Oryctolagus cuniculus: one gene and its partner. The protein of the gene in region 1 purifies or fractionates together with the protein of each later gene. This does not show direct contact. Links are inferred from orthologs where the notes say so. Each region holds a gene or a part of one and is shown in the gene's direction. Other genes may lie near its edges. The genes, in order: SRSF6 and LARP7.

Region 1 (4,356 bases):
GCAATGGAAGATGGTCCAAGTCCTTGGGCCCCTGCACCCATGTGGGAGACTGGGAAGAAGCACCTGGCTCCTGGCTTCGGATTGGCACAGCTCCAGCCATTGGGGCCATCTGGGGCGTGAACCAGCAGAAGAAAGACCTTTCTCTCTGTCTCTCTCTCTCTCACTGTCTGTAACTCTACCTCTCAAATAAATAAATAAAATCTTTAAAAAAAAAAGATAAACGTCGGGGCCACAACTATGCCCTAGCCAGTTAAGCTGTTGCCTGTTGCACCACATCAGTACAGGCACCGGTTCCAGTCCCAATTGCTCCACATCTGATCCAGCTTCCTGCTAATGTGCCTGGAAAAGCAGCGAAAGTCCTTGGGCCCCTGCATCGACAAGGGAGACCAAGCCACATGTGGAAGACTGGGAAGAAGCTCCTGGCTTCTGGCTTCGGATCGGCGCAGTTCGGTCCGTTGTGGCCAATTGGGGAGTGAACCAGCGGATGGAAGACCTCTCTCTCTGTCTCTACCTCTTCTCTCTGTGTAACTCTGACTTTCAAATAAATAAATAAAATATTTTTTTAAAAAAAAAGTACTTTAAAAAATGTCATTTCAGTTCTCGCCTCGTTCTCCAGCACTAAATGCCATCTCTATTGATAAACTCACAAATGCATATTCCCGCGCTTTCCAACCCTGGGAGTAGAGACTAGCATTTAGGACACGCTCTCCGCCGTGGGAGGGCTTGCTCAGCCTTCTCGGGCACCCGCAGCGAGCGTGGGATTCCCACGCACAGCCCAACCTTCGGGCGACTCAAGAGGCCGGCGCTTCATGAGGGGGAGGGGAACGGCTGAAGGGGGCGGAGGAGCCCCCGAGGGGCAGCGGCCCCCACGGCTGGGCGCCCACAGCGCGACCTTGGCAGAGTCACCGCGACCCCCTCGCGCGCCCCGCGGGTTCTGCTACACAGGCTGCTCAACCGCGTTCCCCACCAAAGTGAGCGCGAACCAATAGGCGGCGGGAACCCGCAGCCTCGTTTGGAGGACCCAATCAAAAACCAAGGGTCTTATTATGACAACCTTGAGAACCAATGAAAACCGGGGAATTTTTTTTTAGCGTCCCGCCCAAGCACCAGCCCCCAGGCGATCGCCCTATGGAAGTTTTTTAAAGGTGTAAGTCCGAAGACAAGTCCGCGGCTGAACCACGGGACACTGTATTCACAAAACTTTGTAGGGAGACTTGAGAAAATCAAGGTCGCGAACAAGCTAACACTTTTTACCGCAATCTCACGGGCTGCGGAGTCCACCGGCACCCTCCAGCCCCGCGCTCGCAGCGGGAAGGCAGCGTGTTGCGCGCTGACGTCACGCGCCGGGCCACGCCCCCTCCGGCCGCCCATATAGCGTAGCCCTGGCGCGCGCGCGCACCATTGTGTGGCTGGACTCGGCCGCCGCTGCGGTGTGAGGCGCGTGTTCGGGCTTTCGCCGTCCCCGCACCCGCACCGCGGCTACCGCCTTGCGGCCAGCCGTTCGACAGCCAGCCTCCGGGACCACGCCCGCCACGGACATGCCGCGCGTCTACATAGGACGCCTGAGCTACAACGTCCGGGAGAAGGACATACAGCGCTTTTTCAGTGGCTATGGCCGACTCCTCGAAGTAGACCTAAAAAACGGGTGAGTCGGGTCTGGGCGCCCGCGTCCGCGCCCAGCGCCCCGGGCCTGGCGGCGGCGGCGGGGGCCGTCCGGCAACGCAGGCCGCTGAGGCCGCGGCGCCGCGTGGCAGGGCCTCCCAAGATGGCGGCGGCGCGGCGCCGCGGGCGCGCGCGGGCGGCCGCGGGGGCGCGTACGTGCGCGCCCCCGGCTAACGACGCCCCCGCCGGCCCGGCCCTCGGCCGCCCCCAGGTACGGCTTCGTGGAGTTCGAGGACTCCCGCGACGCCGACGACGCCGTTTACGAGCTGAACGGCAAGGAGCTCTGCGGCGAGCGCGTGATCGTGGAGCACGCCCGGGGCCCGCGCCGCGATCGCGACGGCTACAGCTACGGAAGCCGCAGTGAGTCGCATCCCCGCGCGCTCCGCGTCCTTGGGACCCCGGGGGCGGACGCGGGCACCGGGGTGGAGGGCGGGGCTTCCCAGCCCGGGCAGGCGCGGGGGCCGGGGGTCGTTTGGTCCCGGCGCGCCCGGGCCCCGCCGCTGCCCCGCCTGCCCGGGGAAGCCGGGGGACACCGGAGCGCGGGGATTGGGTCCGGGTGTTTGCCTTGGGGCTTGGTGCGGGCCGCGGTGGGAGGGGGTGGCGTGTGCGGAGCCCCGTTGGCACTGACGTGGGTGCTGCCCACGGAGGGAGCGAGGGGCGGCCGTACTGACCGAATCCCCCGGCTCACCTGTCAGTGCCTTAGCTAGAAGTGGGGGAGTTGGGGTGGGGGCGGGGGCGGGGAAAGGGGCGGAGCCTGTAGTTAGGAGTTAGGAAAATTGGTGGGGGCAAAGAAAATGCGATTCTAACGTGGTACTTTACCACAAACTAAATCTAAAGAAGCTTTATGCTGCATTTGAACTGCCGGGGCATGTTATTGGGAGGACGGGTGGGGGTGGTTATTTTAAATGTTTGATGTTGAAATTGTTGCATGTTGAATTCAAACTTTTTAACAAGTCCTTGATGTTTCAATTTGAAAGTGACCAATGGGGCTGAGGCTGTGTCCACTGAGGCTAAGATGACTGCCTTTCCTGATTGGCCTTGGCTTTTCCATACATTGTGTGACCCTTGCCCTATGACCCTTTGGCTGACCTTACCGGAAGCCATGACGACAGCAGCCTTTTGCCATTAGACGCAGGGTGATGGTGAGGATTCCAAGGGTTAGACAAAACTGGTTAATCTGAACTAGGTGACTGTTACCTTGCGTGTTTTGTGGCCAAACCACCACCAAAAACCTCACACTGTGATGTAAGTACTTAGTGTAACTAGTAAACATTTTTGTAAAATGTAGAAATGCATGTAATCAGTTAAGTTTTATATTTTACAATGTTCTGTAAAATAAAACTTAGCGAGGTAAATTGAATAAAGGAGCAGTCACTCTCTAACAGATTGTAGGAGAGGTTTAGTCGGATTTAGTCTATTTGACTTGCCCTTAATTTAATTTATGGCAAATCACAAATGTATCAAAGGTTTAGCAGTGTAATAGCAAAGTCCTACTCCAGTATATGAAAGTTGATATGTTTGTACTAACTTTCAAAAACGTTATCCATCCTTACCATTGCAAGCACCTGATTGTTCCCTTCGTGTGATAAAGGTGGTGGTGGTGGATACAGCAGTCGGAGAACCTCTGGCAGAGACAAATATGGACCACCTGTTCGTACAGAGTACAGGCTAATTGTAGAAAATCTTTCTAGTCGGTGCAGTTGGCAAGATTTAAAGGTAAGTGCTACAATGAAAGGGGTTAAGATTCATGCTGAAAGTAAACTCTTTTGCAATCTTTATTTTTTTAAGAACTCAGTATGGTATAGATACTTTCCCTCAGATTTCTGCACCTGAGCAGTCTTGTTGCTGTTTTAGGATTTCATGCGCCAAGCAGGTGAAGTAACCTATGCGGATGCTCACAAAGAACGCACAAATGAAGGTGTAATTGAATTTCGCTCCTACTCGGACATGAAGCGTGCTTTGGATAAACTGGATGGTACAGAAATAAATGGCAGAAATATTAGGCTTATTGAAGATAAGCCACGAACAAGCCATAGGCGATCTTACTCTGGAAGCAGATCTAGGTAACTTGTTTGAAGAACATGGAGAGCAGTAACTGGTACTTCTGGTTATGCATCTTGGGTTCTTTGCCATATGCTTTGTTAGTGCATTTAATTTTGTGGTAAGCAAATGCGTTCTGTGTGTGTGTGTGGCTGATCTGTTGATAAGGCACAAACATTGTTGAGGTTAAGGGCTCCTTGTGGGTTCTGTTACAGGTCACGTTCTAGAAGAAGGTCACGAAGTAGGAGTCGCAGGAGCAGCCGCAGTAGATCTGGAAGTATTTCTAAAAGTCGCTCCCGGTAAATATTGTGTTGTCCTTTTTTTCTGGCTGCTGCTGTGCTTGTTCGTGGGGTGCGTGTGTGTGCTGCAAGGCATTAAAAGAAATTGGGCTTTTCTGTGTCCAGATCCAGGTCGCGGAGCAAAGGTCGATCGCGTTCTCGATCAAAAGGCAGGAAATCTAGATCGAAGAGCAAATCCAAACCCAAGTCTGATCGGGGCTCTCGGTCACGTTCTCGAAGCAGATCTAAGGATGAGTATGAGAAATCCCGAAGCAGGTCTCGGTCTCGCTCTCGGTCCCCCAAAGAAAATGGAAAAGGTGACATAAAGTCAAAATCCAGATCAAGGAGCCAATCTCGTTCCAATTCACCCCTACCT
Region 2 (3,812 bases), on another chromosome or scaffold:
AAGACAGAGAACTTGCATCCACTGGCTGACTTGCCACATAACCTCAGCAGCTAGAGTTGGGCCAGTCCAAAGCCAGGAGCCAGGAGCTTCTTCCCAGTCTCCTGCATGGGTATAGGGGCTCCTGGCACAGAATCAAGGAGCCAGAGAAGAAGAGTAGCCAGGACTCGAACCAGCACCCATATGGGATGCTTTACTTGCTACAGCACCAACCCCGTTGTATTTTATTTATGGTCTACCGACTTACGAAAGAATTTGAAATGTTTAACATTTCACAAGTAATTTTAAATAATTTTTATTTAAGTATTCAACAGATACTTAGATAATGATAAAGTCCTCTCATAGCATTTAAGTTCTAGTGAGGTAGATAAACAGTCAAATTATTTTAAGAAACTTGTGCAGGAACTTGTGTATGGAGTTCTCATAATGGGTTTACATGTTTAAATTATTAATTTATCTGGAGAATTGAGTATAAAGGAAAAAGTAGAAGCAGGCTGACTAGTATAGAAGATGTTAACAGTAGTTTAGGCAAGACATGATGATTGTTTGGATGAGATAGTTGTGAAAGGGGTAACAGGTATTCATATTCAGGGTCTGGTTTAAAGGTAAAGCTAATGGAAATGTTGATGAATTGACTGTGGGGTTTGTGGTAAAGAGGAATTCAAAATGATTTCAGGATTTTTGCCCTCTTTAGCATTTTTGTAATTGGTGACTCTGAGATAGGGAAAACTGGGGCAGGGCTGAAGAAAGAGTGGGTTTGTTTTAACTCTGTAAGTTCTATTTTTGCCATGTTAATTTTGAGATATCCTTTAGATCAGGAGTGGGGAACATGGGCCATATAAGACAGACCCAGGAATCCTTTGGCCAACCTTGTCAAGGCAACCACAGGTGGGACTCTATAAATTTAATAAATCTACAGCAGGCTAATTTTTAAGTTGATGATTTTGTGTGGCCTGTGAATGATGTTATAATTATCCAAATGGCCCTTGGCAGAAAAAAAAAGGTCCCATCCTCCTCTCCCCACCTCGTGCTTTACATAAACAAATGGCAGTGTCAGATGGACCATTGGACATTGGAGTGGGGATCTAATGAGAAAATGTGAAATAGCCACATAAAGCCGTGGAACTTAAAGCCAAGATCCTTGGAAAGCATGGACTGTCTCGTTCTCTCTCTTGATTTCTCTTATGCTCTCCTTCTCCCTCTTTTTCCTTCTTTGCCCCAATAAGCCCTTTCCCTTACTCTGGTGTTTGGTGTGTTTTGTGGTGGCCTTACACTAAAATAGCCACTTAAAGCCAAGACCCTCAGAAAGCATGAATGTGTAAATAGGAAGGATGTTCAAGACCTAGTCCAATCACAGGCAGCATGTAAAGGTAGAACCCAGAAGTCTGCAAAGGAAATTAAGCAGAAGGAAAACTCTCTTAGAAGCGATACAAAGAAGATATTTTCAAGGAGGAAATTATCAACTGCAAATGCTATTGAAAGTTTTTGTAGACAGTGGGGCTCACTAATGCCTTTGCAATTTTACTGGAATAGTATGAAGAAAAGTCTGATAGGATGGGTAGAAGTAAGAATATGAAGAAATGAAGTTATTTGATACTAAATAACACCTGATTATTTTAATAATTATTACCTTTTATGCCATCAACTAAATACTTCATAATGTATATTTTTTAAGTGGTGCCTGATTATCAGCTGAAGCCTGTTGTAAAAAATACTCTTCTGCTAACTTTTGTTGGCCTGCATATTTGAAGATTTGAGGTGAGAGTCATTAACCTCTTTATTAACATCTTTATACTGAGTATTAGTCAACTTTTTGTGAGGCCCTAGGATAGTGGACCAGGAAGCAGAGACACAGAGCATGCTGTGTCCCTGTGCCTCTCTTCATGATTAAGTCATGGGCTCACCTCAGCAACCTAATAACCTTTGCAAAGATCCCACCATTGAATACTATAATTAGGTCATCCTCAATCAATAGTATAAGGCTTTGGAGTTTTAGAAGCCAAATTCTGCTTGAAAAACATTTTTTCTGTTATGTCAGAAGTACCGCTGTACAACTAATGATTCTAGCTGGCAGTCAGACTTGAGACAGAAATAGGCTTTAATACTGTGTTGATTTCAGTTTGATTAAAAATGACCCTGTATAAAGTAAACCATATTGTGGGAACCTGAAGTCAATCTCAGACTGGCCAGCATTAAACCTGATGCTTTTATGTAATTATTTTTGAAGGTATGCCAGGAATTAAGGAAGTTTAAACTGCTGAAATGTTAGATGATAAATTCTGTGGAGAAAAATAAAGGGAGTGTTTCAGGGAGACTGTAAATTCAGAAGATTTACCATGGAGTTTGCAGGATATGAGGACCAATTATAGCTGAAGCTAAAGGAACAAAAGGTGAGGTAAAGGGGTTGGAAACTAAAGGCTTGAAAAACAAAAGGCTAATTCTATAGCTTTGAGTTGAACTCACTGCTTATAGGAACCAACAGATGTTTTCAAAATCAAGCAAGCAGTTTATTTTCCTTTATCCACTGTCACTAGGCTAGGATGTTTTACCTAAAAGGTACTTTTATTCTGACAGGCAGTTAATATTTGGATTTTTCCCATTTTGACTATAATTTGTGATTTACTTTTCTAATTCACAGAAATGGAAACTGAAAATGGAAATCAAAAGGGTATAGAAGAGGAAAGCACTGACAAGAAAAAAGATGTAGAAAAAAAGAAAAGGTCTAGAGTTAAACAGGTGCTTGCAGACATCGCTAAGCAAGTAGACTTCTGGTTTGGGGATGCAAATCTCCACAAAGATAGATTCCTTCGTGAACAGATAGAAAAATCAAGAGATGGATGTAAGTATAGAAATAAATTATGTATAAATAAATGTATATAACTGGGTAAGAAATGAATTCCTATTTTATCTGCTGCCCAGATATAAAAGCAGCAAAATACCAATTCAAATATTTTACACTTCCCAATGAGAGGCATTTATTTCACCCAGTCTAATTCTCAGGTGTCATTTCTAAATTTCTACAAGATCTGTATATACAACTTTTCAAAAGTATTGAATCAAAAATTGTATTTACACAGATGGTGTAGACTCAGTGTTTTACTGTCATATTTATGCACTTTTTGTTAGATGTAGATATTTCACTTCTCCTGTCTTTTAACAAAATGAAAAAACTGACTACTGATGGGAAGTTAATAGCCAGAGCATTGAAAAGTTCAGCAATTGTGGAGGTAATTTTTAAATTTTACATTTACTGCAATTTTATTTCAGTTATTTCAGTTGTACTAATTTTAATATTTAAATTATTTTTAATATTTGGTTCTAAAGCTGGATTTAGAAGGCACCAGAATCAGGAGGAAAAAACCTCTGGGTGAAAGACCAAAAGATGAAGATGAGCGGACTGTGTATGTGGTAAGCCATTTCTTGAGAAGCTTAGAACCCAGGTCCCTAGTAGAATGACAGACACATTTTTAGTGTTTTAAGTTTAAAATTTATTGACATACAAGAATTGTGAAAGGCTGTTATTACATGTTAATACTGTTTCTAATTTATCACAGGAATTACTCCCCAAAAATGTTAATCACAGCTGGATTGAAAGAGTATTTGGGAAATGTGGCAATGTTGTTTATGTAAGTATACCACATTATAAATCTACTGGAGATCCAAAAGGATTTGCTTTTGTGGAATTTGAAACCAAAGAACAAGCAGCAAAAGCTATTGAGGTAAGTAAGTCCAGGTCCTAGAAAGAAAAAAAAAAAGTAAAAATTTCAGGAATAAGTAGTAGTAAAATTTACTTGGAATCTTTCAGTTTCTTAACA

Evidence for each region.
Region 2: the proteins of SRSF6 (region 1) and LARP7 purify together in Homo sapiens (affinity purification with mass spectrometry; 3 studies listed by BioGRID and IntAct, with this or other methods). This does not show direct contact. The link is inferred for Oryctolagus cuniculus from reciprocal best matches to the Homo sapiens genes SRSF6 and LARP7.

What each region holds. Positions count from the first base shown.
Region 1 is NC_091442.1:15,437,293-15,441,648, reverse strand, and holds the start of SRSF6 (serine/arginine-rich splicing factor 6), read left to right. Parts: upstream 1-1,366; 5' UTR 1,367-1,538; coding exon 1,539-1,645; intron 1,646-1,873; coding exon 1,874-2,022; intron 2,023-3,253; coding exon 3,254-3,378; intron 3,379-3,516; coding exon 3,517-3,725; intron 3,726-3,917; coding exon 3,918-4,001; intron 4,002-4,106; coding exon 4,107-4,356. UniProt on the Homo sapiens protein: Plays a role in constitutive splicing and modulates the selection of alternative splice sites. Plays a role in the alternative splicing of MAPT/Tau exon 10. Binds to alternative exons of TNC pre-mRNA and promotes the expression of alternatively spliced TNC.
Region 2 is NC_091439.1:52,308,939-52,312,750, reverse strand, and holds part of LARP7 (la-related protein 7), read left to right. Parts: intron 1-1,672; exon of another isoform or gene 1,673-1,755; intron 1,756-2,635; 5' UTR 2,636-2,637; coding exon 2,638-2,836; intron 2,837-3,123; coding exon 3,124-3,224; intron 3,225-3,321; coding exon 3,322-3,405; intron 3,406-3,551; coding exon 3,552-3,716; intron 3,717-3,802; coding exon 3,803-3,812. UniProt on the Homo sapiens protein: RNA-binding protein that specifically binds distinct small nuclear RNA (snRNAs) and regulates their processing and function.